Coturnix japonica: one gene and its partner. The protein of the gene in region 1 interacts with the protein of each later gene in a pairwise test. Links are inferred from orthologs where the notes say so. Each region holds a gene or a part of one and is shown on either strand. Other genes may lie near its edges. The genes, in order: C5H11orf49 and RAB29.

Region 1 (15,876 bases):
ATTACCTTCTAGGCCTAAGAGGCTGTTTGCTAATAACTGTTATTAAGGTATACTTAATTTGCTGCGGCTTTGTTGTACAAGGAAAGGTAAGAAGTGGTGTGTATTGGTTTGTGTTACTTGTTTCAGCATGGTTTTGCTTTCTCTGGTAAGCCAGAACGTAACAGAGCTAGAGAAACATTGTACTGTCTAGTCAATGGAAAGCTACTGTTCCAGGGGAAGGCTGCAGCCGCTGTTTCTTCAGCCTAGGTTAGGGTCAATGAGTCAGGATCCGACTCCCCTTCCAGGGTGCCCCACAGCAATAAAGAGGGCTGAAGAGTTTAATCGAAGGGGTGATCTACATCCTCTTGGAGTAGAACCTCTGCATTTTTGCTACTAGGCTGCTGGTAGGTGCTTTGTACGCGCCTACGTACCCACACTGCCATCTGTGTTATAGAAACTCAAGGCAGAAAGTAGGAGTTTTAGCTCTCTGCACAGGGTGATTCTTGAGAGATTCATTTTGGTGAAGTCCTTATTATGGATTTCAACTTTGGCATTAGTTCAGGTATTTGAGAACAGTATTGCAGCATGCCATTTAGATACACCCTCCAATTGTGCGTCACCCTGTTATACTACATCAGCATTTTCAACTTATGCATTAATGGAGACACTCACTTTTCCACAGAATTGCTCTAGGCTGGAACTTGCAAAATTTCTTTTTTTCCCCCTTTTTAAAGCAAGCCAACTTGGTTTGGGGTTCATTTAATTGTTTTTTAATGGAATAGGTGCTTAACACTTACTTGTGTGAAACTTGTCATTTAGGACTGAATCAGTCAAAACAAGCTAGGAGACAGACTACCAATACTTCTTAAAGAAGAAATAACCAATGTTCTGTTTTACACCTTTAAGGGCTCTATGATTCTATGTCAGATTGTGAAAGAATTGCCTAAGAGCTTTTTTAGTTGATAGTGTAGGGAGGGAGTCCTGTTTAAATTGCAGTCTATACTAGAAAGCGTCTTCATGAGGCTGCTCCCAGATCCTACGGAATGAATTCTGTCCTCATAGTAGGAAATCAATAAAAAGTGTTTTCATAAGATATTTTGTTTGTTTTCTACATTGCCCTGGCACTCTGAAATCACTGTTATTTGGATTTGTCCTCTTCCGTACCTCTAACTCTTGACAATACAGCTGTCTGTTGTGGGGTTGGAAGAAATTGTGAAAAAAAGTTTCACATTCTGTAATTTCCTTCTGAAACTGTTTCCCCAAGCTGCCATATAAGATATTCTTTGAGTCTTCTAGATTGGATGGCACTCTTTCTTTCTTGACTTGAAATAAGCATACTTCACCTCTTTTCCTTTCTCAACACACAAAACAGGCCAAATGAAATGAGCAGCCAAAGTAGTATTTTGTGCTACTTGAGGTGTTTATCTTTTCTTTTTCCTTCCCTTTGTAAAGGTAATTCTGTCATGTCCTGTTTGGACACTAAGAGGACAATATATTCTGACATATTCTAGGGGAAGTAGAAGCAGTCGGGAGTTAAAATAAAAATGAACAATGAATCAGACATTCACTGAAGATGAAAAATAACTGCAAATTTTTGGTATTGGGAAGTGCAAATCTCATGCCATAGTGACTGTGAGACAATAAGTAGAAGAGCAGAGATGACCAGAATTCAGTGAATAGGAAAGGAGATGAGGTCTGCGAAATAGGCAGAAAGGGCTGCAGGGAAGAAGCTGTAGCAAGCAGGATGTTTAAAACTGTGTTTTCACTCACTAAACAATAGTTAGTGTTTGGGGATAGTGATGAAAATGTGTTTTACGTTTGATGGATGAGACTAGAACAACAGTAGGCAAAATAAAGCTTATTTGAGACACTTTTCCATGCCTTCCTCATTACAGTTTAATAACTGGTGATTGCTCCATTATTTATAACAGGCAACAGAGCACTCAGTTTATTGTTCTACTCATGCAGCTGTCTTCTGAAGCTTCAAGTTGTAGATTTCCCCATCTTCTCCATTAAAAAGAAAATGCTGAAGATTATTGCAAATTTCTGAAATTTTCCTCTGGAGCCTTCTTTTCTCTACTCCCTAATTCCAGGATGTTGGTTTTTTCCTTTCTTTGCCAGCATAAGACATGTAAGAACATAAATTTACCATTAGGTAAATGCCTTATTGGTAAAGCATGAGGCTATTAAGTGCCAGGAACACAGTCCTGTTTCCTCATCTCTCTTAGGCTTAATGAGTTGAAAGAGCATTCACGTTTTACAAAGCCAAGAGTAGCTTCCAGCAAAGTACTTCAGTCACACAGTGACCTTGCACAAAGCTGGGGTTTACCCTTTTCCTGAAGTACTGAGTTAGAAAGTCCAACTGCACCCTCAGCAAGTTTGCAGGTGATGCCAAGCTGTGTGGTACGGTTGATGCACCCAAGGCACAGGGATGGGATGCAATTCAGAGGGATCCAGAAAGGCTGGAGCAGTGGGCCCAGATGAACCTCATGAGTTCTAACAAATCCAGGTGCAAAGTCGCACCTGAGTTATGGCAATCCATATAACTATAAGCCTGGGGATGAAAGGATTATATACAGGCCTGCTGAAAAGGGCTCAAGGGTATTGGTGGATGGTAGTGATGTCAGTGATGTGTAGTTACAGCCCAGAAAGCCAACAATATCCTGGGCTGTATCAAAAGAAGTATAGCCAGAAGGCATCCACCTAGAGATCATCTAGAGATGATCCTACCCCTCTACTCTGCACTGATGAGACCATACCCAGAGAGCTGCATGGGGTTCTGAGCAGCCTGATGGAACCATGGGTGTTCCTGTTCTCCGGCATTGGACTGGACGGCTTTTAAACTCAACCCTTCCAGCTGTAAAAATTCTATGATTGTACAATTTTCTTTACCAACATGTTCAATGTTTAGGCTACTGTTACAATTGGAAAGACTAATGCAGTAGAAGGGCAATACAAGAAAGTAACAGCAAAGGGACCAGTGCAGATAGGATGGTATTTCACAGGAAAAGTAAAGGTACTCACCCATCTCCAAAGATTTAGGCTCACAGAAAGAACTCTACAAGGAAGAGATCTTCAGCCAGAGAACCTTCCCCAGTTGCAGTCAGCCCATAAATGAGGTCTAAGAGGGGTACAGCCAGGGTCCACCTCTTCTTGTCCCACAGTTGAATTGCCTTCACCTGTGCTCCCAGGGCTGACCAGGTCCTTTCCCCAGGTGCTCAATCAGTGTTTCAGGCTGTGACTGAACAGTTCCCATACAGCTATGCTTATATCTAGGGATCATGACCAATGCTGAATCTCTTCACAGTTGAGATATTTGCCAAACTTCTATGGAACACTCCATCTGAAAGATGTTCTGGTCTAAAAAGAGATAACAAATCATTTTTCTTTTCCCTTTCTTACTCTTCTGTATAAATAGGAGAGCTATAATGCGGAGGATGAATGACTTCCCTGCTGATAGATTTAAGTTTGTTTGTACGGATGATAAGTTCAAATCCTCTTAGATTCAGTATCATACTTTCTCCAAAAGATTGCAGCTTCAAACCAAACCTGCTGTTGTACTACAGGATATCTACCTTAGCTTGATAGGTATTACATGGAATCTCATTTTGAGTGAGGTAGATTTCCAGAACTGGAGAGCCTCTGTGTTTGAGTATGAATTGACAGGGAGCCTGTCAAAGGGTATCTAATGTCCTTGTAACAAGCAGTAGTGGTCATTACTTCCACAGTGTTAATAACATGCTGAATAAATTCAGATTGATTTATGTTTTAGGGGAAAAAAGCTCAACAATTGTGCAGTGAAGAGGTGGTGATGCCTAACATCTACACTGCATCTTGCAGGAGGTAGTTGCTGGAGGGATTTGGACGATGAAGGCAATCTGTGTGCGGTCTCAGGATGCTTGTGCAGTGAAAGACTATAATGTCATGGTTTGTTATTAATGTCTGATTAATTTTTTGAAAGAAATATCCAGTTGTGGTCACAGTAAAATTACAAACTGAAGCATTTCTCAGATTTTTTGGTTGAAAGTGATTTTAAATCCACGAATACACAGAATACAATGCGTTGTGTGGCCATTTAGCACACATTCCTGAACAGCTGTTCATGTCCCACTCATATCATAGTGTTATCTCTGGTATGGCTGGGTCTACTTGCACTTTGCTACGCATTCTGTCCTTTAATCTCAGTTTTTAGGGCTAATAGGAAATTATACTGATAAGCTGTGCAAAGCTGTGAGGAACTATAGCTGTACAGTGATTTTGCTCTTAGGTCGGTTGTTTTTATTTGCATACTTCTCTTGCTAAGTCCATTCCGTGAGGATATCTGAAGAAGAGAAAAAGAGCATCCTGAAAGGTTATCAATGCTGAAAAGTCTTTGGGAGCTGATGTTATTCTGTTTTTGTAGTTTATATGCATTATTATTACTCGTGCAATATTAGCAATAATTGTTTTTGTGTTACTGTAGTTGTCTCTGATGTGCTTTAATACAGTGGGGTCCTTAGTTCAGTGGGGTCCTTAGTTAAGCTCTGATTTAGAATAAAATCAGGAAGTGAATTTAGGAGCGTACAAAGTAGCAGCTAGAGATTTAAAAACACCAAAAATATTTCAAGTACATTAAATCTTGTAATGCTCTTGAACTTCTGATAACTGAAATGAATTAGAGCGGTAATTGCATCAAAGAGTGTATTTTGAGCACTTCAATTGAGGAGGAGGAAAATAATTAATAAAAATCAGTCTCATTATCCAGGAATTCCCACTCCTGATTTTTCATAACATTCTGCTATGCCAGGAATGAAGCAGCCAACAAAAAAACACTCGTGCATACAGTAGGTATTGCTCTGGTAGAGGGCTTGTGATCCTTTAGAAGGCATCTCTCATGACAAGCTGAGCAATAATGCAGCTAGCTGATTTGATAATTTGATAAATAAGACCCAACCTTTGCTCTTGGCTGTGGTTCTAATGCTGCTTTAAACAGAGCATTCCTGTTGACCTGTACTGATGTGTATTTTACCATCCTATATAAGTTTATTCCAGTCTGCTGGTATACTGATCTACAGGGTGAGGTTTTTTGTTGTTCTATTTTTGTCTGATTGTTTTATTGGCCTCTTAAAAAAGGCAAATCTCTTGGAAAAAAAAAGCTCCATCATGTTGCCATTGTGTGCTGAAAGGGATAACATGCAACTCAAGGGAATGGCTCTACAGCATATGTAAGTTCTTTATCCTCGCCCTCACAGCTCCTGGGCACTGCTGGTAATAAAAAAAATACAAATACACAGTATCGTTACATAAAGGTAGTATGTATTTTCTTTCTTCCTCCTGAATTTCTGACTTAGAGAATGTTAGTTCATACATTCCGTTTCACATAGTAGTATTTTCCTTTTCCTTCAAGTCTTCCCTCAAATGTCAGTGCCTGTTCTTATAATATTTTTAGTCAAACCTACAGATTACCAGGCCTGCTTGTTCTTGTAAGAAGAAACAAGTCATTCATTGGCTTACAAAAGGACTATTTTTACTACTATAATTTCAAATGTAAAAATAAATTGATATAATTTCAGTTAAAAGGAATCAGTTGGGGTTGCGTAAACTATTGTAGTGGAGAACGTAGGGATTGTGAACTGAGTGTGGGTGTATTTCTTTCTCTGTCTTTTACTTCTAAGCTGGAGGAAACTCATGTGACCCGATCAGGCCATGCTTGAATTGAACAGACAGCACTCAACCTTGAATTTGGTTTTGAGCCAAAGGGTATTAATTTCAGAATGTACTTTGTACCTTGAGCTAGTGAGGTGGGATGCTGGTGTGTGAGTGGAGTGGCAATGCTGTCAGTGCCATTCTCCCAAGTGCTGCAGTAGCTGACATGTTAGACGCATTGTAATCAGTTGTGCAGACTCTAGGTGTAATGTCACCACTAGCTGTTCATGATGAGAGTTAAACTATTCTGTGAAAGGACACCTACTTAACATCATGTCATTGGCTGCCAGAAGACTGCTCTGTGAACTTAATGCTGTTTTGTTTTTCTGTGAGAGGTTCCTGGCAGGCTTTAGGTTTGACAACAAGAAGTGGTACCTACCAAACGTGTGTGGCAGGCACACTTGATTCCATTCTAGGGTAGTTGCATGGGATTTCAAGGAAGAGTTTAGCAAAGGTGTTGCATGGTCCATTAGCTTGCATGATTTTATATGAGTAGGGAGGAGAGCTGTAGCTGGAATAAGCCACAAACAGTAAATGATGAGAATGATGTATGTGGAAGCTGCAGTAAACTGGAATTGTGTCAGAAAGACAATGAATAGAGAGATCAGGTTGTAATTGTAGCATTTTGTGAGCATTTGAACTTTCCATTCTAATTTGGACTTGCTGCTTTATTTCCAAGTTGGTCAAAAAAATAGGAGCAGCATCTATAACAATACAACATTAACTCCCTGGATTTTCAAAGAGTTTGAAACAGTATTAAAAGCTATGAATCATCATGTTTATTTTGCATTGGACCCTGTGGATTTTTAACTTTGCACTTACATAAATAGGTAATGTTGCCGTATAGTTCCAATGTTTGTTATGGAAAGTACCCTTTATATAAATTATGGCACTAATGTTTTGCTCTAACTAGACCCCTGGCATTTCATTTTGTCTCTCTGGCCTGCTAGAACCTGCCCATAAATTATTTTTTTTATGACTGTTCTGTGTAGGATAGAGTTGGTTGGGCTACAAAGCATAATGCTTGTACCACTCTGTGGAACTCGTCAGCCAGAAAACAGGAAGCCAAAGCTGGGATTTGATTTGGCAGCGTGAACCATGCTACCTGGAAAACAGCATAGCAGATGAAGTGTCAAGGAAAGAGGCTTCTTAAGTAGACTGCAAGTGCTGTTTTTCTTTTTAGCTTCTCTGCTCATAGTTTTCTTCCCTCCCCCACTTCCCTATCTGCCTTTTGGGAAATAAGGAGAGATAATCTTTACCAGGATCCTGAGACCACACAGCAAAAAGTTTTATTTATAATGTCCTTTTTTCAGTGACAGTATTCATCAGTAACCCATACATAATTGTGTACTATTTTAAGGGTGTCAGAAATATCTGAAATTCTGTGTTGAGCATTAATTTATCCTCCAGGAGCAGACTCAAAGGTATTTGTTAGGAGAGGTCAGTCTTAGCGTGATATGTAGCACTGTGGGGACCATACCTGTTTACTCCTTTAGGCGTTTAGGAGAGAGGTTAATAACTGTAAAGAAGTGGAATAGCAAAAGAAATGTGTGTTTCACTGGTAAGGGCTCTTCTACAACAGGGAGCATATACATCCCTAGAACATTTAGAAAACAGTTTTGCAGTTGAGTAGGAACATATTGTGGACTGAGAGGAGTGGAAGCCTGTTTGCTAGTGTGGTTTCCTGACTTAATCTGGTACTGCTGACAGCTCTAGAGGGGCCTGGGAAGATGTTTCTGGGTGCAAGATGGGCTGCATAATGAAGAGGGAAGAAGGATGGGCTGAAATAAAGTTACCCAGCTGCTGTTATCTTAAGACTGTGACTGAGCTGCACGACTCATTCTTCCCTCAGGGGACACAGGTGCGCAGAGCTATTTTTCTTTAATCACTCACATAAATTTATTCCTTTGCATTAAAATAATTAAATAAAGCTACGCCCTGTATCTTTTAGTGCCAGATAATATCTTTGAACCTTTGGCTCACCATTTTGCTATCAGCTGCAAGGTGTTTTCCAGGGTGTGCTTAACCAATTTTACCATTGTCCTAAAAAGTGTTCTAGTCAGAGAAATCCCCTGATAGCAATCAATGTTCATACATACTTTTAATCACTGTATCCACTGGGAATAATCATTTCCGGGCCTCTCTTGAAGCCCACCTGCCCCACACTAAGATGAAAGGGACTTCCATGTTGTGCATCAAGTGGCACAGGCTTGATGCCTACCAGGATATTAAGCACAAATTAAAATGGTTTGAAGAATATTGATGTGGGTCTGTGGTTGGCCAGTTGCTAGTTGAGGGGAGTGATGCTGCCAAGTCTGGAACAGATTGGCAAGGAGCAAGAACAGCCTTCGCCTTTCCTATATCCCCTAAGGGCCTTCTCCTGCTCTTTTTAGGACACGACACTACTTGCAAAGGTGCAGTACCATACGTGTTTAGGATGGAGGTGTGTGCTTTGGGAACAGGGCTTGTGTGCTTTCCAGGTTAGGAACAATTTTCCTGGGTTCGTTATGACTTGTTTTCTGATTGTTGAACTTGTAGGTTTGGAAAGTCTACTGCTTGTGCATCACGCCAGACTCAGCTCTTTGTTCCTCCGAGTTGATTTCCAGCCAAGAACATCAAAGGCACTCAGTGGCAAATCTGTACTGTTTCCTTCCTGGCAAATGCTTGATTTCTTCAGTCTGCCCCCTGCAGAAGCAGCAAAATTGTTTGTCTTGTACAGTCTTACTCAGAAGACTTGCTAGTGTGGTTGGGTACTGGCAGATCTGCCTCTTCTGAAACCTCCTCAGGTTTGGTTTAGGCAGTTACTGGGGACTAACTGTTGAGCAGTATAAATCTCTCCTGGTACTGAGACCTGTTCTCTACCTGCCACTCCAAGAACATTTATTGATGTTTGTGTGGAAACAGATGTAATTTTATTTACACCTTTAGAGAAAACTTTACAGAACAACCTTAAAGCTACTTGGCTTTGGTAAGCAGGGAGGGGCAGGGAACACCTAAATCTCTACAACGACCTCATTGATCTAGCATTGGTGATTTGAATACGAAATATGGCTGTGACTCAGAAGAGATGAAGACCTCCTCTTGGATAAGCATTTTCCAGCATGGCTGTCTCACAGCTCTATCTCTTCTTCCTTCACTTGCAGAATCTGAAAGGATTTGAAAAAGGGTCCACACTGTTAATGACTAACTGTGTAGCCAGGAAAGACAGCAGGAATTTAGGTCAGGAGTTCTGCTATCTGTATCTGGAAGAAAAAAAAACAACACTCTGGTTTCTAAATGAGGGAACAAATACTGATTGGTTTGTTTTGTAAGGCCCCAGCAAGGCTGGTCTGGCTCTGGGCTTTGCAGGCCCCTTGTATTCTAATTTCTGTCTCTTACTATCTTTTATTTGCAGCTCAAAGACATGTCCTCACGTACATGGAGGATGCAGTGAGCCAGCTGCTGGAGAACAGAGAAGATATTAGTCAGTATGGCATTGCCAGGTTCTTCACTGAATAGTAAGTACATCAGGATACTGCCAATAGGGCCAGCCTGAGGGAGGCTTTTGGAAACAGGCAGGGTACATGGAGAATGGAGCTGGACACATGCTGATTATGTTGTGAATGCTAGATTTCACTAGGTTAGCCAAGGGCTGCCTGAGTACGTCTCAGAAACGTGCATGGGTTTTCATACAGTTTGGTACCTCTCCTGTTACATTCATGTGAAGCGGCCACTTTGGGAAATGAAGCCTTTAAAAGCATATAGAAAACCAAACCCTGCTTGGCTTAATCAGAGCTGTTAGCCAGTTTTAAAAGCAGGGATTGTTTCTGGTTTCAGCAGCACTCATTCTTTTTTTGTTTGGATTCAAACTGTTTTGTCCCTTGTGTAATTGTTACTGTGTTGAATGCTTTAATAGAATGTCTCGTGCTCCCCCGCAACCTGCGTAAGTCCTTAAAAATGAAAATAATTATTAGCACGGATTATCTTTTCCTACTAATTTGGGAAGTTGTTGCTTTTATTTCTTCATTTTGGAGGGGGGAGTTGAAACTGTGCTGATCTCCAGTGTTGTTGATGTTGACTCAGCCAATCACTGTATGTTTCGCCAACTTGATGTCTTACACAATGCTTAAAAGTGTTCCGGCAGCTTCATTAAAAAATCTGTTGGTAATGGGTGTGCTTGCAGTTGGTGTGCTTCAGTCTGTCTTTTTATGCCCATTTGAAAGTCTGCTCATTTGCTTCCTTTCCTGTTAAATTTTTCTTGAGACTAATAGATGTGCAGAGCAATTTGCAGAAATATCCATACTACAGCTGTGGAAGAGGATTTCAGTGCTCAGGAGAAGCTTGCTTTCTCAGCTGATCAGAGTGATGTTGGGTTATTTTGTTTGTTTTTTACTGAGGTATGATCAGGTGGATCATCTGACCTCCAAATGAGATCTAACTTCCTACTTAAGCTGTCTGGACAGCTTAGGTTATATTTTCCAGCCCCATGTGTATTTCAAACTTAGAAATATCTGAGATTCTCTCTGGTAAATTAGTAACTAAAATAAGTTATGCAGCAAATCTGAGTGGGAATTCCTAAAGCTTTTTTATTATTATTATTATTGTTTTTTTAATATTGAGACAGAGTAGCAAGCTGCTCAAGGCCAGTGTGGTTTCAACCATGCTTGGCAGGGGAAATAAGATACAGGCCATCTTGCTACATCTGTTTATGTAACAGATCTTTTAGGTAGATGGCACTGTAAAAAGGAAATATGTTTTTTAGCTCTCACGAAAGTACTCATCTTTCACTTTAAAGAAATCATCCCAATGACAAAATGCAACACTTCTTTGTATAAATGCCTTTATTCTGTGGAATTAAGAAAAATCTAACAGGGAAATGACGTTGTCTTGTTCTACTGTTACTCTGTAGCTCAGCATAACTGGAGTAAAAATTGACTTTAAAAGACCTTCAGAACCTATTTTAGAATAGATAAAGTACTTGGTTTTACAAGGATATTTATGTACATGTGTATATGTGTACATGTATGTGTATGTAGCCTGAACACTAAATACATTCCATTTCTGTGGACTATCAAGGTATAAAGATTAAAAAATAAAAATCAGTGCATGGTATCTGGAATGCAACTCTTATTGCACAAACAATACACTTCCATGATGTGAGCAAGTTGCAGGGCTAGTAGTCATTGTTAGGTGATGGCTGTAGAGAATTAATCGGTGGCAGTAGTTATTAGGGATAAATAAAGATACAATCTTGTGTTCTTGATATGACTGGGAATCATGATGTACCATCTGATTCAGGTGACTTTCCACAGAAGTAAAACTGAGATTAATCAGCTGAACAAATAGTAAACAAGTGCTTAAAGATAAAGAGCATGACTGTAATGACCTCCACCCACATCAGGGTTTGTTTACCAGGACTGAAAGCAAGGTGACTGTGCAATACCCAGCTGGAATTATTGTATCTATCCAGACTGGATTTGTTTTACACCTGCTTTCAAGTGGACATCTCAGGATGTTTTCTAAACCTTTGTGGATATATGCTTCAAGAGTTAAATAGTGGTGAAAGAAGTCTTCCACACTTAAATTGAAACTGCCCACACCACTTCTCTGCAGTATTTCTTCCTTCATCATGGCCTGTTTTCTCTTCACTTCCTATTCCTGTTCTGCTTCTGAAAGAATACATGGTAATGCAAGATCATTATAACAAACAGAACTGTGAGCATAGAGCACAACCCTGTGATGGACTTAGGTGCTTATGTTTTTCCCAGTTACTTTCAAATACGTGAATTTCTAAAATGGCTCCATTCACACTGAGCATTTCATGGAGCTTTTTATTTCCTGAAAGATGGGAATAGAATATGTTTGTTTGTTTCACAAGTAATAAGGAACTTGTCACTCTTTTTTTTTTTTTTCCTTTTAGTGGTATGGGTAGAATTTAGCAGATGACATTGTGTCCATGACCCAAAGCACAAACAGCCTTAGTAATTTGCAGAGCTGTGAAACAATTATAATGTGAAATGTGTGAACCCATATTAGAAGTAGACAATAAATGATCAGAAATATGAATGTAGATAGAACAGGAAGTTTCCCAGAGCTTAGTGTTAAGCTCCTGCTGCCCAGTGGAACTGTACCCATCCACCTGACTGAACTCCACTGCTTTGTACTGCTCTGTCAAGCAAATCAATACAAATCTTCTGTAGTTCTGCCAAGATAATGAAGTTTGTGTGTCAAGTATGGTCTCTACATAGTAAATCTTTTTAGAGGGTACACTGTACAATAGCAGTGTTCCATGGACCCCTCTGACTGGATTCATCACAGAGGGGTGATCATGGCTACCTATCACGTATCCCTCATGCATTGCAGTGCCCTGCCTCACTGTGAGTCACTTGAAAACATTGTAGTAGTTATAACAGCTACTTTGTAGGTAATCATTAAGAAAAGATTCCGTTTTGGGGGAGATTTAGATTATCTGACTGAAATTTCAGAGTTGAAAAACTGTGTGGTCATACAGCTCTCTATGTATGGATCAAGCTGGAAATGTTTTGCAGGCAATAAGTTGTTCCTAGTTCAGGAAATGAAAACAGTTCTGTATTAAACTGCTATCCACAGCTGAGCACTAAGATTGCTGATTGTAGAGGGCTGACCCTCTTCTTTACAGCTCTCCTTCCAGAATATTTTTAGTCTTCAAGGATATTTTTTCTCCCACTTTATTCATTTGCTCATTTGTCCCAATCATGTGGACATCTGCTTTCAATCTTGCGAGTTCTCTGAGGCTTCTCTCATCTGACTCACTCCTGATTCTTACAAGAATAGGGCTCAATCACCCTTCTGCCAATTAATCCGCATCTTTTACCTAAAAGAGTAAAATCGTGCCTCTCTCAGGACTGGTTTGGATTTTATAGATTTGCTGAAATGCTACTGGTGTTTGTTCATTGCAAACCCAAGAAATCTCTGCTTTGCTTCTGAATCTCCATGAAATGCAGACTCTTGAAAGCCCTTTGTGTAATTACAGACTAATGCTGCTTTACTTCTTCCAACCTAAACTCTGAGCCAGCGTATCTTAAAGGGACACGTTCCTCCTATACATTATTTATCATCCTGTTTTCTTGATTGTTCCTGTACTGAAGAAAAACAGGGCCCCTGTGCTAATGCATTTGATCACTCAGCGGGAATGTGCGTTGTGTTCTACTTTAAATTTTCTGAGATCTTAAAGGGAAGCTGTGTGCTTATTTCACTTTAGCTGGAAGAAACAGCAAAAACTGTCCTTGACCAAAAAACTTTTAGTAATTTTAGTTGTTTGGTTTTTTTTTCTATGGCAATAGTTGGCTTGAAACTTTCTCAGTTTGCAGATAGATACCCCACTCAGTTCAAGGCTCTTTTAAAAGGTTATTTTTTGTTTTGTTTTGTTTTTCATGTACTTCTCCCAGAGCACTTCTTGTTTTCCCTTGTTTATAGTGAAATGTCTTCCCATCCATGTGCCAGTTGCAGGATGACTGAGAAAGACATCTTGCTGTTTGCATGCAGATGCATCGCCACCACCACTGGGCTCTGTGCTTACTGACTGATGTCCAAGATCCCCTTTTTCTGTAAGGGATATTTCATCCAGGTCTAACTTGAAGTATCCCTGCTGGATCTTGTTCACATTTGCGTGCTTTCTGATGACAGTTTTGATAATATCTATTTAAGAAGTTACCTGCAGTGTGCTTGTTTGTTGGGAATGGTGGTTAGATGTTGCATTTAGGTCCTTTAGAATAGATATTTAGTTTAAAATGCTGGACTAAACTTTTTATGCAGAGGAATGCTTATTTAATTCAGAGTAAAAGGATTGGTAGTGCTGTATAGCTTGAGATCATTGGATAGAGAGTATTGAGAAGTATTTGCTTATAGTAAAGAAGGTACCTCATTTTGTCCTGCTCTCTAGATTGGCTGGAACTATTCATTCAACTTGCTCCTTAGGGACTATTGTGATACTGCTCTTTTGGCTTAATCTAGCAATAGCAGTGACACCAACTTGTTCAGTCTTGTACTTCCACGTTAAGTTACCTAGATAAATCTGTAGGGGAAACAATGTCCTCTTGTTTAAAATGGTCTCTGTACCCTTGGGGAATGGAAGAGGCAGAAGGGAAGGGCCAGAAATGGGACAGATGGATGCCTGTGAGAAATAAGCCACTCATTGGAGGCAATGCTGAATGACAACTGGAAATAAGCTGAATTATCCTCTTATAAAGAGGAGAGATTCTTAGAGCTATCTTAGAGCCTTTTTTTTTTCTTTTTTTTTTTTATCTCTCTGTGTGTGTAGGTCTTATCATCATCATCTTGCTGTCATCTGCACTGTGTCTTTCCTCTTTTCACAGTAACTTGTTCTGTCTTGTTTGCAAGGATAGTATGAGCTTGTCAAGACAGAAATTATATTGTACTGCATGTACTTTACAGCATCCACCACTGTAGAACATTTACAACTGTACAAAGCATGGAGGCATAAACAACAGGAATAGTGAGAAGGTCCTTAGGGCTTTGACGAGTTGTAGTGTATCCCCTTTTTGAGAGACAGAGACTAATTGAGTGTCATCAGCTGAATTTCTTGATAAGAATCGGGGGGAAGGTGATGTGTGTGTTTTTTTCTTTTTTCCCTATTTCTCTTCTCTCTTCTCTTTTCAGAAACTTGTATCTAGGAAGCAAAAATTCTTTCAGATACTTACAGCAAATGTTGATGTGCTCTTTAATACTATTTTTGCAATAGATGTTACATTTCACATGTTCTTCAAATCCTGTCAGAACTTATGAAGTTGTTTTGCTTGGGAAAGAATCAAAATGATCACATTCAGTGCAAGACTACTGTGAGCGTGTGATAGGTATGAATTTGCCGCTGTCAATGGCCAAGCTGTGGAGGAGTTCTTTGGGTTGAGAATCTCAGCTGGGATGACAGGAGCTTGATGGCTCCTGACAGTCTCTTACTTGGGATTCCTTGATCCCATAAGAGTGCTGTCTGTGTCTCCTTTACTCTTCAGTTATCAGAAGAGAGAGGATAAATATGTGCATTCTGAGAGACAGTGCTCGTGCCAGCAACTCTGAGGAGATTTTGCAGCTAATGTGAAAAAGTTACTCAGAAAGACATTTTGAATGTCTTTTTCTGGAGAACAGAAGGATTTACAGGGCTGAGTTTGGTGATAAATCTTTCTGGGGATCCTATAATAGTTGCATAATTCTACACTTACAGATGTGTGGCTAACAGACACAAAGCCCTTCCATTGAGGTCGATTTGTTGCTTTCCAACCTTGTTCCTATAGAGAAGTATCAGAATAGGAAAGTCTTTCCTTTGTAAACTAAGTTTCTGGCCCATAGCAGAAATGGGATTTCAGTACCACCTGCCTGCAGTGTAAGGGGTGTACATTTTGTATGATCATTTGTTATTTTAAATTGGATGAATTTTGTACAGAGCCTGTAGACGACCTGTAGCTTTTTTGTTTGTTTGTTTTTGTTTTTAAATAGCAGAAGCAGCATTTATATCTTCTTCATACCAGCAGGTTCTGCGAAGTCTTCCTTTTCCCAGAGCTGTTTCTTTGTAACAAACATTGCAACAAGTCCTAGCCTGACAAATATGTTGATTGGCTGCCATTGAGTAAACTGCTGGGAAAAAAAAAATGCATATGTTAACAGGAATGACACGCTCATTCTCACCACAGTTTGTATATGTTGATATGTTGCAAATACATTAGAAAATGTATTGATTCCCTCCCCTCTCCCCCCCTCCCCCTCACACACACACATAGTTTACAGGAGTACACATAGAAGTTTACAGGAGTGCAGATGCTTGCATGAATCTAAGCCCTTACAAGGAAATATAGAGGGGAAAAATAAGAAAGAAGAATTTTTAGTAGTAGAACAAATTTATAATGTTTGTATTTAGAAGAGCAGGTTGAATGTAGGAGGCAATATTTACTTTTAACAAGGCCTACGGTAATGTACTCCACACAGGAAACATATAATACTGTTGTGGTGACAGGAAAACCTAGAGATCTTGCCATAACATCAAATGTTAGCACTTCGTATCAGCAACTTGGCAGCGCAGGGTAGTTCTCCATGGATAAGCCTCTACTTCTGGATAGCCAAGCTGCAGTATGCTCTTGCTACTTCAACAGAGGCAATTGCAACTTCTATATGCAGTGTACTCCAAATAGGATGCCTCAAGTACGTATTCATTACATATCAGTGCCTCCTCTACTTGCTTTGTTC
Region 2 (16,674 bases), on another chromosome or scaffold:
TTTCATCAGAATTCCTATTGCTCCCTTCAAAATTCCTTCTATCCTGCTCTGCTTTTGCTGCATAGGAGTGTCAGCCCATTCCTGTTGACAGGGCATCGAAGCTCAAACTGGGAACAGCTTTGGTGTGCTGGGCTATAAAGCCAGGCTAACTGTTGGAAGAGCAAAGCCATCCATCTTTTAAGGTTCTAATGATGCTGTGATGTCTTCTTGCAGGCTAATATTGGCCAAATGGACACACCCAAAGAGCTCTGGAAGATGATAACAGGGAACATGGCACTGATACAGGTAAGAAAATGGGAAAAAAAACATGGGGATGTTAGTAGTTGTTGAAGTCCAACTTGAAGAGGTGTCAGAAGGCTTGAATGTCTTTTCTTGGGTATTGACTGTCGGTATTGCATGTCTAAGGGGGAAACAAATGGCACCTTATTATCCCATGGTCACATTACCATTGCAGTTTGCCTTGAAGGTTGAACTTCATGTACCATTTTGCCTCAGTCTTCTTGGTGTTCATCTCACTTTCATTTTCAGGTTCAGGCTACCGTGGTTGGCTTCCTGGCCTCGATTGCAGCAGTGATATTTGGATGGATTCCAGATGGGCACTTCAGCCTTGACCATGCTGTCCTGCTCTGTGCCAGCAGCGTGGCTACTGCTTTCATTGCTTCCCTTGTCCTGGGTAGGATATCTATCATGTACATTCTTCATGCACCTCTTCCTGACATGCTGGGCTCTCCTTGCCTTCATCCTAATTTCTTCCTCTTTTATTTTGCTGTAGGCATGATCATGATTGGAGTCATCATTGGATCCAGGAAGATGGGAATCAATCCTGATAACGTAGCCACACCAATTGCTGCCAGTCTGGGGGATCTCATCACCCTGGCTCTGCTTTCAGGAATCAGCTGGGGCTTGTACAAAGAGCTGGGTGAGCAGCAACAAAAGGCTTTTGTCTCTCCCTGGTCCTTGTGTCTGCTGCAGCATTTCCCTTGTGTTTCACCCTGTTCCTTTACCCTTAATCCTCTTGGGGCTTCCAAGTGCTAGGAGCTTGGTAGTGGCTAAAACAATGGGGGAAGGCAGCTTTGGTTGTAGTCTTTTATACTGTCAGCACCAGCTGGGGGTCCTCAGTGCAGAGCTGCAGCTGTGTGCTATGGATTTCCTCCTCCCTGGTGGCTGGGATGCAGAGGATGTGACTCAGCCAGGTTCACTCAAAGGTGAAGCAGCTCTGGGAGGTCTTGCCCAGGAGTGGGAAGTAGGAAGGAGCAGTTGGGAAACTAAAGAGGTTTCATTCAGCAGGTGCATCAGGAGGAAATGTTGGGTCTTGTTTGTATGTTTCTGACTCTGGGGATGGCAGCTCTCTGCTGGCAGGGCTGGTGAGCTCAGCTGAAGTAGCATCACAGCTCTCTGCTGCAGGATGTGTCCTTGACCTGTTGCCTTTGCTTATTTCCCCCTCAGGGAGCAAAGCATACGTGAATCCTTTGGTGTGTGCCTTCTTCATAGCCCTGCTGCCCATCTGGATCATCATTGCCAAGAAGAACGCAGCGACTCGGGAGGTGCTGTACTCTGGCTGGGAGCCAGTCATTATTGCAATGGCAATTAGCAGGTAGGAAGGTGTGCAAGAGTTCTTCTCCTTGAAACACAGACACAAAACTCACCTTTTTTCCCCCCAGCCCTTCCAACCTTTTCACGCTTGACAGATTCCAAAAGAAAATGGCGATTCAAACTTCTCCTTCCACAGCGGCCTCTGCCAGGAAACTGGAGGTCACGTTGTGTTTTCCAGTCAAAGACACTGGGATTGAGGCCCAGGGGCATTGAGCACCTGACTGCTGGAATCCAAGGCCTCAGCACGTGGTTATTGCACGCGTTAGTGGGTGGATACATCACCCAGTGCACACGCTGCAGCAGGGAGGACTTGCAGTGCTCTGTGTGTGCTGCCCGATGGGCTTTCAGCACTGACCTCTTCATTCTTCTCTCTGCAGCGTTGGGGGTTTAATTTTGGACAGGACGGTCTCAGATCCGAACTTTGCTGGGATGGCTGTCTTCACCCCTGTTATTAATGGTGAGTTCTTTTCCATGGTGATGTTGCAGCTCTGATGGTTCTTGGCCTCTGCCTCAGTGTAGGAAGGTTAAGGAGGCTAATTCTGCTAGAGCACCAGTGAGATGAGATCAAACCCAACCTTTACAGCAGCACCTCCTGGTGCCAGCCCCTTCAGGAGAGGGTAACAGGTTTAGGGGAGGCCATTGCATGAGAGAAACTCCAAATCGGAGCCACAACAAGAGCTGTTTGTTATCCACTTCCTTCTGGCTCATGGAAGACCCCTGATCCAAGATACGAGCCCTGCAGCTCTTGGTAACATAAAGATCTGGGTTTGCAACTCAAGTCGGGAAATCTTTGGTTTGTTCTGGAATGAAGCTTTGACCTCCATTCTGCCTAATGAACCAAGGGAGTTCTGTTTGCACTCATTCTCAGCCTTGCAATAAATTGAGCTAATTCTGCAGCAGCTCATCTATGGGTTGGCAAGTTCAGAGTTTCCTTGTGCTTCAGGCAAAAACCAGCAGCTTTAAACTTCCCTTATTGTGCTCTCCTTATCTGCAGGTGTGGGTGGCAACCTGGTGGCAGTGCAGGCGAGTCGCATCTCCACTTACCTGCACATGAGTGGGATGCCTGGAGAGAGCCCTGAAACAACCCCTCGCAAATGCCCCAGCCCTTGCAGCACTTTCTTCAGCTCAGGTACTCAAATTAAGGCTTGGAATGTATTGAGTTCTGCAAGCAGCAGTTGCTGCAAATGGCTGGCTGAGCTCGGCTGAGGCCGTCACTGGAGCACTGTCACAGGAAATGGTGGCTGAGGCTCAGAGGCAGCTGTCAGCTCGTGGATGCCTGCTCTTTTGGCCTGCCCTGCCCTCTAGAGACCAGTGGACCTTTAGCAAAGCTGATATGCAAAGAGGACACATCCCTGCTGGATTAGGAAAGCACGTTGCCCAAGTTCTGTGCCCTAAGTGTGTAATGCTGTAATTCCTTCACCCAGCAAATCTTTTCCAGATGTTCAGGATACCTAAACCTGCCTTGAAGCTGCTCAAATGTTGAGGGTCTGCTGGGCCTATAGAGCTACAATTAGAGAAAATTAACTTGCAAATGCTTCTTAGCCCTGTTATTTGTAGCAGTGAACAGCCGAACCTGCATTCCTACATAGTGTGTGGAGAGGTGGTCATATTCCAGGCTGCCTGGGGGAGGTTTGATACTCCATAGCCTTGGTTCTGGCCTTCTGAGATCCGAGGTGCCCCCAGCTGTAAGTAGGCTGCACAGTTGCTGTGTTCCAATCCCACTGATTCCTGAACTCCACATTTGTTTCCCAACAGATGTGAATTCCCGCTCTGCTCGTGTGCTCTTCCTTCTAGTCGTGCCTGGACACCTGGTTTTCCTTTACACCATCAGCTCCATGCAAGGTGGACACACTACGCTCACCCCCATTTTCATTGTTTTCTATATGACGGCTGCACTCCTCCAGGTGAGCTGAGGCCCCTCCAGGGGCTGCAACTGCTCAGGCTGCAGTAAGGGATGCTGCCATGCCATCCACAGCACTGATATGAAGGAGGTGGGGGGAACATTGCGCTCTGGTGGCTTCAGCTGCTCTTTATCCCTGGGATAAAGATGTTGCTGACCCTTCCTAAGAGTCCTCTGTGCTTCTGAGTCCTCTCTTTTGCCCCATATCTCTGAGTTTGTTCTTGTTAGATCTTAAGATGGAGATGAAAAATATAGACTTGCTGGTGTTTGGGTATCAGTGCACTGAGCCTTTATGCTTGAACGTGCTGGGGATGCATTGAAGGGAAGGAGGGGCTGCAGAGGTACTGCATGAGGAGAGGGATGGCAGAGGTTGGGGCTGTGGCTGATGTGGCTCTTTTCTGCCTCCCTCCCAGGTTCTCATTCTGCTGTACATCGCTGACTGGATGGTGCACTGGATGTGGGGCAGGGACCTCGATCCTGACAACTTCTCCATCCCTTACTTGACAGCGCTGGGCGACCTGATTGGAACAGGTCTCCTTGCTCTCAGCTTTCATGTCCTATGGCTTATTGGTGACCGGGACTCCGATGTGGGGGATTAGCTCTCCCTGCCACCCCTCCTCTCTGCTCTCTTCCATTCATTTTTGTCATGATTGTTTTTCTTCCACTCTTGCTCCCCTTCCTCCCCCCATCCCTTACCCTGTCTCTCACGAGACTTCATCTTTGATACAGGATTCTCATTATTTTCAATGGGAATTTTATGTGGTTTCTATTTCAAGCCAAGTTTGTACAGAAAATAAATCTAGTTTTAGGAAGGACGCGGGAGTGTAATGAGACAATCACTAAGTGCAATTTCCTAGCAGTTGTCTGACCAGTGTTCCAGGGGAGCTGCCCATCAGTCGATGGAGCACACAGGAGCCCCCCCTGTCCCAGCTTCTGGAGGTGAAGGGCTGCTTTGTTCGCTTCATAAGCGTTTTAAATGCTGGAGATGAAGTTAAGATGGATGTTGCTGAGAGGGCACCTGCTAGCAAAGTGCAGCCTTGTGGGTGAGGACATGGGGATCTCCTGTTTTCTCTGTCCTGTGACCCTCCTCCCTCGTGTTTTCTCCCTGCACCCCCTCACCTGTGCTTTGCTCCCAAAACATGCAGCTCTCTGGTCCAGAGTTGATCCACTTTTGTGCATTCAGGATTGCTTCCAGCTGCAGCTGGGCAGGAGCTGCTCAGTACCTTCCCTTGCTGAGTATGAAACTCGGGAGCATCATTGCTGCTGCTGTCTCTTAGAAGATGCCATCTGTGTTCAGCCTTTGGCTTTCCCTGTATGCGTAGGAGGAAGCAGGAAAACAGGTCAGCAGCACAGCCTGACTTGTGCAGCCATGCACTGTCAGCGCAGCACTCTATGTGGCTCTCAGCAGAGCACCCTGCTTGCTTCAAGCTGCACTTGCAGCCTGGGGTTGGTGACAGCCCAGCATGCCAGCAGAGGGGCTGAGCACTGTGAGCCTTGTTTCCCTCCTGCTTTTTGTGTTGCCCAGCTGGGAGGTGGCCAGGAAAACCTGCCGTTCCTCCACCTGTGCTCCCCGGGGGGATTCTCATGCAGCAGCATAATGAGAGAAAACCAGTTCTGGTTGTGTGACTGAGGCGTTTGTAATACAATCACCTTCCTGGGTGCTGTCAGAGCTTTTTACTTTTCCCATTTGGATATAAATCAATTCAGTGAGCTGAGCACAGTTTATTTAAGCGAGTCTTATTGACTTGGAAGCTTCACTCAATGATGTGCTCAGCAGGCTCTGATGCAAACTGCATGCATGGGAGAGAGCTCCTAATGTTGGTAGGGGTGGGGATCATAGTGTCCCATGGGACCCAGTTTTGGTGCTGCAGTGCCCAAAGCACAGGGAGATGCCCTTAAAGGACCAGAGCTCACACTGCAGCCCTGTGCCTTTTGTGCTGCTGCATTTCCTCTTTGCCTGCAGATCCAGGGCCATCACCTGAGAGCTGCAGGATCTGGGGTCACCTACAGGCTGCTGCTTTTCTTCTTCTGTCTTGAATGGCTTCAGTTCCTCCCTTAGGTTACCTTCAGCATTTCTGGCACAAAGAGGCAATGCTCCCCTCCTCACCTTGCTGATGTGAGGCTCGCCTTCCCCCTCTCCATCTCTGTGCTGTCCCCTTAGTGGCAGTAGCTCTGACCCTCCTTCTGTCTCCTGTAGTTGACTTTGGCTGCTCGCAGGTCTGATTCAGCCACAGCTCTGCACGAAAACACAAAGGAAAACCAAAACATCAGAACAACCAACCAAACTCATACCCCAAAGCAAGAAGTCTGAGCCTGGGGGCTCCTCCAGCATCCTCTGCTCTCACCTCCTATCCCTGCCTGATGCTGAGGGGTGGGATGTGAGATTTCCTTCTGCTGCCATGTTTGTGTATGGCCGTGCCATTACTGCTCTGTGCTGTGATGCCAGGGTTTGGTTCCCTGAGAAAGCAGTGGTGTCAGAGGGAGGATCTCCCATGGTCTCCTATGGGTGCTGAGGTGCTGTGGGGTGAATGGGATGGGGCAGGATCTCATTTAGCATCTCAGCACATGGACAGCCAAAAGCTTTACCCATCACTTGCACTCGGTTGCACAGCCCACCTTACAGCTGACTGCAAATGAGAAACGCCGGGTTGAGCTCTCTTTGTATTAAAGAAAAAACAAAGCAAAGACTTGTCTTAATTATTTATAGCTACTGTAACTGGATTGACGGATGTCAACTGCTGATAAATTATATTTCCTTAAATAAAGATGACATTTATTTATGCGGACTTGGGTGCCCTTCTTTCTTCCATCTCAGGAGCAGCTTAGAAGCACACAGTTTTGCAGCACTGATAACAGCCCTGGGGGGGGGAGGGGGGGGGTTGGTTCTGTGCTCCTATGGACTGAATGGGAGCAGCATAGAGCTGTGTATGGGGGGGTCAGGAAGCAATAAGGGCTGTCCTATGGGGGTGGTTAGACAGTAGGGCAGGCTTGGTGGGATGCCCTCTGTGCCGTTCCATTCTGTGCTATTCTATCCCGTTCTATTCTATCCTGTCGTCTCCCGTTCTGTTCCATGCGGCTCTATTCCATTCTGTCCCGTTCTATTCCATCCCATTCCGTTCTGTCCCGTTCTATTCCACCCCATTCCGTTCTATTCCGATCTTTCCCCGCCCCAACAAGCTCCGGAACTGCGCTGTTCCGCCTGACCATCACGTGATCGCTGCACCCGAGGGTGGGGGGAGGGAGGAGGGGGTGGGTTTTGGGGGGGGGGGGGATAGAAAGATGGGGCAGAGGGACCGAATGTTTAAAGTGCTGGTGGTCGGGGATGCTACGGTGGGTAAAACATCGCTGGTGCAGCGCTACGCCAACGACAGCTTCAACCGGCACTACAAATCTACTGTGGGAGGTGAGCACAGCCTTGAGGGGGGGGTTGGGATGGGTGAGCTCGGTGGTTCCTTGTGTAACGTGGATGTAAATGAAGCTGTAAAGAGTTGGGGGGGGGGGGGGTTCTGATGATTTAATCCTTAAAGGAGTTTCTTTTCCTATGGGGGTTCACAGTGGACTTTGCACTGAAGGTGGTCCAGTGGTCTGAGTCGGAGACGGTGCGGCTTCAGCTGTGGGACATTGCAGGTATGTTCATATAGAGCCCTAAAGTGCATCCAGGTGGGGATGAGGCTCCATCCATCCATGTGTTGGGATGGGTGGGATTTTAGGGTGCAGAGCAGGTTGGGATGCAGGGCTTTGGGTTTGGGTGTCTGGGATCTTCATAAAGAAAACAGGAAGGAGAAGTTTGCAGGGAAGGGATTGCAGCAAAGAAGCAGATTTCAGTTTCAGTGCTGAGAAGTGCATTAAAAATCAAAGGGTCCTGAAAAGATATTTGGGAAGATAAAGCAGAATCCCTCACCCCATGCAGTGCTCAGTGGGGGCTGCATAAATGCTTTCTCATTATGGTGCACCTCTGTTTCCTAAATGGAGTTTGGAGCTGAGGAAGCAAAGTCCTGCTGTGGGCACTTATTTGGTTGAGTAAGTCTTAAAAATGGGAACTTAAAAATGGGGATTTTTGTCTTTTTTTTGATCCTGAAGGGCAGGAACGCTTCACATCCATGACCCGGCTGTACTACAGGGAGGCATCAGCCTGTATCATCATGTTTGATGTCACCAATGTCAGCACCTTCAGCAACAGCCAGAAGTGGAAGCAGGACTTGGACAGCAAGCTGACGCTTCCAGATGGGAGCCCTGTGCCGTGCCTGCTGCTGGCCAACAAGGTGAGCACAGACAGGGCCACCAACCTCACACTGAATACCAGCCCAGGGCCCCATCCAACATGGCCTTGAACACCTCCAGAAGAACCTTGCCCTGAGAGCTCTGTGTCAGGTTGGGATTGAGGAGATTCAAAGCTCTCCTCCTACTGCCCAACACTGCCCAACAGTTCCCCTCCCAGCTTGGGAATGGAAAGGTTGAGCCTCACCTGGCTGACTCCTGTTTTACAGTGTGACCTTTCCCCGTGGGCAGTGACAAGAGAAGAAGTGGATCGTTTCAGCAAAGAAAATGGCTTTTCTGGTTGGGTGGAAACATCCGTCAAGGAGAACAAGAACATTAACGAGTCTATGAGGTAGGAACAGCAATTGGGGCACACTGCAAGAGTTAATTCCCTCCTTCAGACAGTGCTGGCTGAGGTAAGGGGAGATGCTGTCATCAAGTAACAGATAGCAGCAATAACATGCAAGTGAATCTCCTGAAGGGAAACTGAATTCAGAGAGGTCAGACGCTGTGCTGCCCTTGGTCAAGCAGCTTGTACCCAGGAAGCTGATCCTCTGCTCCTTAAAGCTCTGGAGTTTTGTGTCCAACCAGGAGTTGTTGCTTTGGTTCTGTTGTTGTTCTGTTTTGTTTTGTTCTTCTCTGTGCTCCAATGCCCTAATTCACATCTATTTGTCTTCCAGAGTCCTGATTGAGAAGATGATGTCCTCATCCACTGGTGATGGAAGTTCTGCTTCTTCCTGGAGGGGGGATTATATTAATATCAAAGAGACGTCCCCGCCGGGCTGGGCGTGCTGCTGATGCACTGACTGCTCCATCTGCTTCTGTTTTCTACCCCTTTTTTTGTCTGTTTTCAAAGATAGTGAACTGTCCTCTCTTTACATTCATACTCACTAAGCATTGCTGCAATGGCTTGGAAGGAGGAATGGAAAGAGTGAGGAAAGGAGCCCTCTTTCTTCCAGCACAGCAGCAGTGGGAGCACGGCACAGTCTGTGCTCAAGCACATGGCTGGGATTCATCTTTTAAAACACTGAGCACTTTTCTTCATCTTCTCCTATATGACAGCCTGTGTCATGCAGGGTGAAGGACGTGGAACGTGTATTTTTAATGCTGTTGCACCTTTGGTACCTTTTATCCCCCAAGACCTGCACCTGATCCACAGAGGCAACCATTCCAGAGTGCTGCAGTAACCCTCATTTGATGCGCATGAAGTTGAATCGTTCTCTCTGCTCCTGTGGGTTCCTGGGGTGAGATTACAGCAAACCCTTCATTTTGTGCTCTGGAACTTTACACCTCTGTCTGCCTGTTGCTGGAGACCAACACATCTCAGCACTGTCATCCCATGTCCTTAAGGTGTGGATCTGAGATGGAGCACAGCCCTAAATCATGTGTGTGCTGACTGCGGAGTTGTCAGCGTTGCCCAGTTGCCTTCTGTTCCTTCACTCTTACCCTCTGTCTAGCACAATCCCATGTGTTCTCTTCCACTGCTGCTTTATTAGGACACTGGGAGCTGAATGAGGAATGGGTTGTAAACTCCTTTGTGTGCCAGAACAACAGTTCCTTTCACTTTTAGCACACCCTGCGTCCTACCATCTCACTAAGCTTTGCAATTGCTGCTGCATCACCTTCCCACCATTACAGTGCAGTGACTTTGGTGGCAGGCTTTGGTGCTGGAAGCCCACTGCTGGTTTAGTGCTTTAAGGGGCAAGCAAAGACTTTGCAGGGCAAAAGGAAATGAAGAAATCTGCTCCCCAGCTGCTTTTTTTGTGCCTGCTTTTCCTAATGTATCCCCCAGGTGTGCCTAGCTATGAATGGCTCTTGCCAACCACAAACTGTAAGAACACATTAGAGTTATCTTGGAGGAGCTATAAGGAAGGCCAGTCTGGAAGGCTGCAGTTATGCAGCACTGTGGGCTCTTGTCATCATCCTGCTGTGCTATAGAGTTGTGTCCTGCCTGTGTTGAGGTTAGGGTTTAAACAAGTGCTCTTCAATGATGTTTTCTCTCATAGTTTACATCTCTGTGTGCCAAAAGATTAAAAGGCAGAAAAACTTTCCCTTAAGAACATCCATCATCTGTGGATGCAGAGTAAGAACAAGAACTGATTGCCTTTTGTTATCTGGGGTTGAGAAAGATAAGCTGTGAGGAAGGGCTACAAAACCTCGGCCTATGTTATGTTCCAAATATCCAGGCTAAGATTCTGTTGTGTAAATATTGCCAAATTCAGCCTTATAAGCACTTAAATATACCTTTCCCTGTGCCTTCGGGTTAACTGGAGAAACACACGAAGTGTGTAGGGGTGGTTAGGAGCAAAATTGAACTGTCTTGTTGTGTTTTAATTCCTAAACATGGCAGGGAAAAGAGAAAAAAGGGTCTGATTTTTAGAAGGATCTGTCATGAAACTGTAAAGACTTGTGTATTATTTATTGATTGCTGTCTAATTGAGCAAAGGCCAGGAGTTAGACCTGCCCATACAGGTGAAGGGGATGAGGCTTGCAGTGGAGGTCCCTGCCCAGGACCAACTAATGCAGCCACGAAAGCTTGGAACTGAGCAAGAACTGCACAGCTGTGGTTTCCATGGCCTGTACTTTCCATGGCCATACTTTCTGTACATCACTTGGATACGTACCAGTGCCTTTTTAGTATCCGGACCTCTTGATTTTCCCTAAGTGCCTCTTAGAAACAAGGAAAAGCCGAAGGAAGATCTCTTCTGATTTTCTTATTTCTGTTCTGCTGTTCCACCTGCTTTGAAAATGATCTTTGGTTTTTCCTTCCTGCAGTGCCTGCTTTGACATTGTACTCTATGTAATTCCAGGCAATCCATGCCTATTTCACTCTATTCCACGTGTTTCTCGTTGCTTAACTCTTTAAATCTATGGTCACAGGTCTCAAAAGAGACATTTAGTTACATATTTAATATGTTGATGACTGCAATCTGTGGATCCACATAGAAATGTATACTGGAATAGAATCAATGAGGTCAAAATTGAGTTTTGGTTTTAAAACAGCTTGTAGTTATGCAGAAGTATTTGAGAACAGGGTTCTCCTTACTGTAACACTGCAGTATTATCATGTTTATACAAAGAGAAGAAACTGCTGGGAGGTTTTCTCCCTATCAAACTGTAAATGAATGCAATATAGCAAAGGTCTGACATAAAAGAGTTTGACATTGCTGGTGTAGACGTTGTTTTCCTGTCTCAAGAGTCCTAAGAAATGGGTTCGTGAGATCAAAACAGAAACAGTTTTGCTGCCAAGAACAGGAGGTGTTATAAAGCAACCAGTGTGGACTGCCCTGTGTTGCCAGCAAAACAGATTAGATCTTTTTTCTCTGGAAAATCTCGTTGTCTTCATTACCGTCGTGTTATTGACCTACAAGTGGGACATAAGCACGCCAAACTTTCACATCTGCCAGGCTGTCATAGTGGGTTTTAATCCAATACATCCAGCTAAGAGGAGGAAGAAAAGAATCCCTTGATGTGGCTGTTTGTTAATAGGCCTTGCTCCTTCTGGCTCATTAGCTCACACAGTGAGCTCTGAATGCCCCTCTTTCTTTCCCTGATCAGCTTGATTTTCATGAGTATTGACTCCCACGATGGACGGGGCACATATGAACCGATCAGGGATGATTGCAAAGGGGGCAAATGAAGCTCATGCAAGGAATTAAATGATTCTAAGGACTCTTAGCATTAAGTGAAAGCTGGATCTGAGGAGCTGAGTCCCTTCAGTGTACGATGGACTGGGCACGTATGAACTGATCATTGTAAAGGGGGCAAACGAAGCTCATACAAGGAATTAAATGATTCTAAAGACTCTTAGCATTAAGTGAAAGCTGGATCTGAAGTGCTGAGTGTACAACCAAACACCTCCAGCTGCTCCAGGAGCTGCCACGTTAGCAATGCTTGGATGGAGGCCCTCACAACCTTCCAACCCCACCATATAATGCAATGTAGATATATCCTATTTCACCACAGCACAAAGCAGCTCCTTTTCCAACCCCGAATCCCCTCAGGGTTGTGTTTGCGGTTCCCTCACGTTAGATCCCTCAGTGTGAGGCCCCAGGGCACACTTACATGACAAAGGCCGTTCCCTGCTCTAACCGAGGGGCTTTAAGCTGAAGAGCCGGGCCTTGTTGTAGGACCGAGGGCCTCATTATAAGAGCCGACATCAGGCCCTGGATGTGCGGGATCCTGTGGAGGCCGCTGCGGGGCGGCGCGGCGCTTCCCCGCCTTTTCCCTCCAACAGGCGAATCTGCCGATGGCTCGCCTAGTTGTTTGAGCTTATCCCTGCCGATCGCTCCCCGGTTGTTTGAGCTCATGTAAAAATTCAGGCTCGGTGTCTAAAGTGGAGGTGTGTGGATATGTGGGTAACACGGCACCGGGGAGCGGCACACGGAGCGACGGAACCGGCGGCGAATCTGCCGCTTGCGCCTAACCCGCTCTGTGACTCAGAGCATGCGGGCCGCCCTCACCCCCCTTCCCCGCGAGGCGAGTGGGCGGGACCTTCACCCGTGATGGTTCGAACTGACCAATGAAACGCCTCCATTCTCCCCCATCAACCAATCAGCGTGGCGGGAGGTGTTGCCAGCGGGGTAGGCCGCACCGCCCCCCTCTCGCATCCTCAGAGCGGGGCGAACGCGACCATTTTGCGGGGGGGAATCGGTGCGGTGGGGTCGGGTTGAGCTGAGCGGGGCCGGGGGGCTCCAGGCCCACGTACAGTGAACGTGGACCCTCCCACGGGTGGGCTCGGGCCGGAGGCTGCGGCCCTGAAGGGGCTGAGAGACTCGGCTTGAAGCGCTTGGGCCCAGCTGTGTGGGGAGGGGGGGAGAACAGGAGGCTCCGAAGCTTGTTGTTTGATTAGCGGGGTTTATTCTTCTCTTTCATCCCTTCGTTCTGCTGGACGTGTCGGCCTGACCGGGCCTGAAGCAGAGGGGAAAATGTCCAGGCCTGTCAGGTGAGTCCTTGGAGGAGGGAGTGGAGGCCGCGATCTCGCCTTAAGGCCCGGCCTTAGAGCTGGGTAGGCCTTCAATGTAGGCCCTAAGCCTGGGGTAGGTGGGAGGCCTGGCCATATGTATGTATGTATGTATGTGTGGTGGAGGGGGGCTGCTGAGTCGTGTAACCCCGTGTTTTACGCGTGCACGATGTATTTTGAATCCATTTTTAATTGCAGGGGTTATACAGGCCTCGATACGAGCTGTGTGTGTGTGTATGGGGAGAAGAAAGGGGGCGGGGAGCGCCGTTATGTTGCGTGGAGCTTCGAGCACGGACCCGCGTGGGGTAGAGGAAAGAGGCGCCATTTCCGAGCATTGGAGCTCACTTGGGGGAGGGGGGCGGCGGAGGGGAGCGGGGCCGTGCGGGGGAGCGGAGCAGAACCGCGCTCAATGGGGGCGGAGCCGTAAAGAGCCACCCCCGCTTAGAGTACGCCCCGCCCGGGTCCGATGTGAGCTTTAAGAAAGCCGCCTTGCGTTGGAAGGAGAGGGTTGTTTTGTGCTTGTGGCTCGTAGTTGAAATCGAGGTAAGGTGTCTCCTCGCGTGTGTTTTTTGGCTGCTCTGATGTGTTCGGTTTTGCAGTCTCAAGGGGGCTTAAGTAAGAATTCAGCCTGGAGAAGAGGAGGCTCAGAGGAGACCTTCTAGCTCTCTATAACTTCCTGAAGAGGGGTTGTAGTGAGCTCCTCTTCTCTCGTGTAATCAGTGATAGAACTAGAGGGAATGGTTTTAAGCTGCACCAGATTCAGGCTGGACATTAGGAAGTATTACTGTTTGGAAAGAGTAGTCAGGCATTGGAATGCACTGCACAGGGAGGTGGTGGAGTCACCAACCATGGGAGTGTCCATGGGATGTGGTGCTGAGGAATATGATTTAGCCTGGAAGTATTGGGAATGGTTGGACTAGATGATCTTCTAGGTCTTTTCTAACCTTGATAATTCTGTGGTTCTGTAATTGCTGTGCTTTTTTGTCTCGTGTTAGCCTGATCTGGGATATGGGATAGCCTGATATTGGATAACCTCATTTGTTTTCATAGAATCATTAAGGCTGGAATAGACCTCTAAGGCCATCAGGCCCAACTGTGTTTTATTTTGGAATAATCATTATATAATTATGGCAGTCCTAGGAGTTATTTTATATGGGGGGGCTGGAATTAGATCACCTTAAAGGTCCCCTCCATCCCCAACCATGCTGTGAATGTAGGCCATAAACTACTTATAAAAGGTAACACCTATAAGTTTGCATTTATATTTCATATCCCTAATATGTGAGAGTTTACAAAACAGAGTAGGAATACGGCATGAGACCAGGAATGTTTGCCACACTGATCCGTGAAACAGTTGTTGTTGCAGCTGGTTGGTTGGTTTATCTTTGATCAGCAGTGCATGGCTGCCTGCAAAAGGAAAGGGAGAAGAGCTCAGAGCTCCATTCCCAGGCATGGCCTCAGGTCTGAGAGGTGATGAGCAGGGTTAACACCTTGCCCTGCAGCACCAGTTTGTGGGTTTTTGCAGGTAAATGGACTTGTGGCCTGATGTTGAATGACAGTGTCTGTGTCCTGAAATAGTGCTGATGTGACTGTGCTGCTCGGTATGTGTTCTGCTGATTTACTTACCAGCACTTGAGTTTTGCTGCAGGTTAGGAAAGCGTGTCTTTAACAACTTAAGGCTTCTGCTATCAGGGAACCTTTGCAAGAAACCTTTCATAAACCAGAACTAAATCCATCAAATCATGCGGTGTTGCAAAAGACTCGACCTGACTTGCAGTTAACAGGCAGTGCTGTGGAGCAGAGCTCAGTGCTGAAGTCCAATGTGCTGTTAGCAGAGGTGTAGCAATCTGTTGCCCAGCTGTATTTCATAGCCCTCCAGGTCAAAACGTGGCCGGTCCAAGATACTTTCCAGATAGGTAAAAAGATGAGTTTATTGCTCTGAACACTTGCAGTGTGGTAAGAAATAAGGGTAGAAGCTCCTGGTAACTTGATTTTGTGCTTTGCAACAATTGTTGCAGAACAGTTTTCTTGTATCTTGTGGGTCTTTTGTTTGTCTTTAGAATGTTTCAGTATCTTCTCATTTAATAAGTTCCAAAGGAGGATGGGCACAGTGTTGCTATGTAAATCATTGAATTGCTTTGTTGAGTTTTAAGTCGTGTATCCCTAGAAATCATGCAGGTGACGTGAGCAGCGCCCAGTACTGACATTTGGAGCTGCATCAAGTCCAGACTATGAGCCCAGTAACTGCGACCTTCTGGTCAGTGAGTCTTGTCTCACTACAGAAGCTTTGTTGGATTGTTATATTAATTACATGCCGTAGTTTAAAACAAAACCATCGATAACCACTGAACCTCTCATTCATTTGACTTCTCAAGTTGCATGGGAGAGTAGGTTGTTATCTCTGTTGATAGTTGTATCACCTAAACATTCCTCTTCCTTGCGAGATGAGGCTGCTATGAGCTTTAAGGCTCTTAGCTTTGCTTTTCAGTGGTGTGTATATATATATATATATATATATATATATATATATATATATATATATATATATATGGAAGGATTTAAACATTTCCTCAGAGAAACAGAAGTATTTTAACTCATGATTATTTTGTGTGCTGACATGGCAACTTCAGAACACTGCTGTTCGAGGTACCAGGTTAGCTGGAGATATGACGCTATTATACAGTCTGTATTCAGTTGTATGGGTGTTTAGTGACCCTTTGAAATACTGCTGTTGTTTTTAATCACATAAGAACTGGATTCAGTCTGATACCCTTCAAGTATGAGTTGTCAGAACTCTGCTGTGCAGTTCTGAGTTCATCACTCAAGCTTTCAATGTCATGTGCCATTGTGCTGCTGGGTGAGCTGATCTCTATTCCAGAAATGAAGAGCTGACAGCTGCCATCACAAACTTCAGCTCTCAGGACTCTCTCCGTGCCTTTCCTCCCCCATCTCATTCCCATACACACACTTTAAATATTAAGCTGTGTGAGCAAAGAAGTTATCTTAAATTTTCATTCTCATTTGCTTCTGTCATAATGGTTATGAATATCCCTACTCCTATAGGGCAGATATAGGTTGCAATATTGCAATGTCCATCTTGCTTGTTATTTAAGTGATGTTTGAAACAGCTCTATTACAAAGCTGCTAGAACTGAATAGACAGCAATTCTACCTTCTTTTCCATGCTTATGTTTATTGAGAAAAGCATAATACCTACTAAAGCATAATACCATAAGACCAAATCAAACACCTCACTCAGCAACTTCATCATTCTTCATGTGCTTAACCAGAATAAACTTGGTTTCCCACATGTGGGCAGGAGTCTCCAGGAGGACTAGATGATCACTGTGGTCCTTTTCAACCTAGGCCAGTCTATGAGTCTATGATATAACTGCATGTTGGAACAGGAGGTTGAGGTGGGTGGTGCACACCTTGGTATAGTATTCCCTAATGGGTATTGTAGGCAGTGGGCTGTGCTGTAGTGCATTGCTGTTGTACTTTGTACTCATGCTTACCCTGAAGCTTGGATGGGATTCAACCTGTAGAAATCTGATGACTGGTCTTGCTTTCTTTTGTTAGCAGTGTTGGTTTGTTTTTTATTGTTGTTGGAGCACTAAGAGGCTTTGTGTAGGCTCGAAATAAAGTAATTATCCTGCTTCCTCTGTTGGAAGGCTGCTGCTCTGCTGTAGGTCACAAATAGAGGTACAGGAGGAGTGCTTAGAATGGGTTTCAGATCGACAGCCAGAACACAACACTGACTCTTGGGATATTCAGCTGAGCAGTCTTAGCAACCAAGTGTAGTTGCCTAATTTTATCTGTCCTGGGTTGTTTTTGCTATGCTAAGGATGCTTTGTTATTGCATGACTTGCAGCTGGTTAGAGAGCAAAGAAGGTGCTGGTGGGTTAAGGGCAGAATTGGTGCTGCTCAGAAATGCAGGTGGGGTAAAATGCATGCACAGCCTT

The links.
Region 2: the proteins of C5H11orf49 (region 1) and RAB29 interact in a two-hybrid assay, tested with the Homo sapiens proteins (2 studies listed by BioGRID and IntAct). The two-hybrid records come from large-scale screens. The link is inferred for Coturnix japonica from reciprocal best matches to the Homo sapiens genes CSTPP1 and RAB29.

What each region holds. Positions count from the first base shown.
Region 1 is NC_029520.1:20,778,880-20,794,755, reverse strand, and holds part of C5H11orf49 (UPF0705 protein C11orf49 homolog), read left to right. Parts: intron 1-9,058; coding exon 9,059-9,161; intron 9,162-15,876. UniProt on the Homo sapiens protein: Regulator of the tubulin polyglutamylase complex (TPGC) that controls cytoskeletal organization, nuclear shape, and cilium disassembly by balancing microtubule and actin assembly.
Region 2 is NC_029541.1:2,551,335-2,568,008, reverse strand, and holds RAB29 (ras-related protein Rab-7L1), read left to right. Parts: upstream 1-6,748; 5' UTR 6,749-6,772; coding exon 6,773-6,896; intron 6,897-7,048; coding exon 7,049-7,120; intron 7,121-7,573; coding exon 7,574-7,755; intron 7,756-7,980; coding exon 7,981-8,102; intron 8,103-8,430; coding exon 8,431-8,548; 3' UTR 8,549-10,917; downstream 10,918-16,674. Other genes in the region: SLC41A1 (solute carrier family 41 member 1), read left to right, coding at 214-285, 529-673, 773-919, 1,447-1,594, 1,971-2,050, 2,588-2,722, 3,349-3,497, 3,907-4,092; NUCKS1 (nuclear ubiquitous casein and cyclin-dependent kinase substrate 1), read left to right, coding at 12,679-12,695. UniProt on the Homo sapiens protein: The small GTPases Rab are key regulators in vesicle trafficking. Essential for maintaining the integrity of the endosome-trans-Golgi network structure.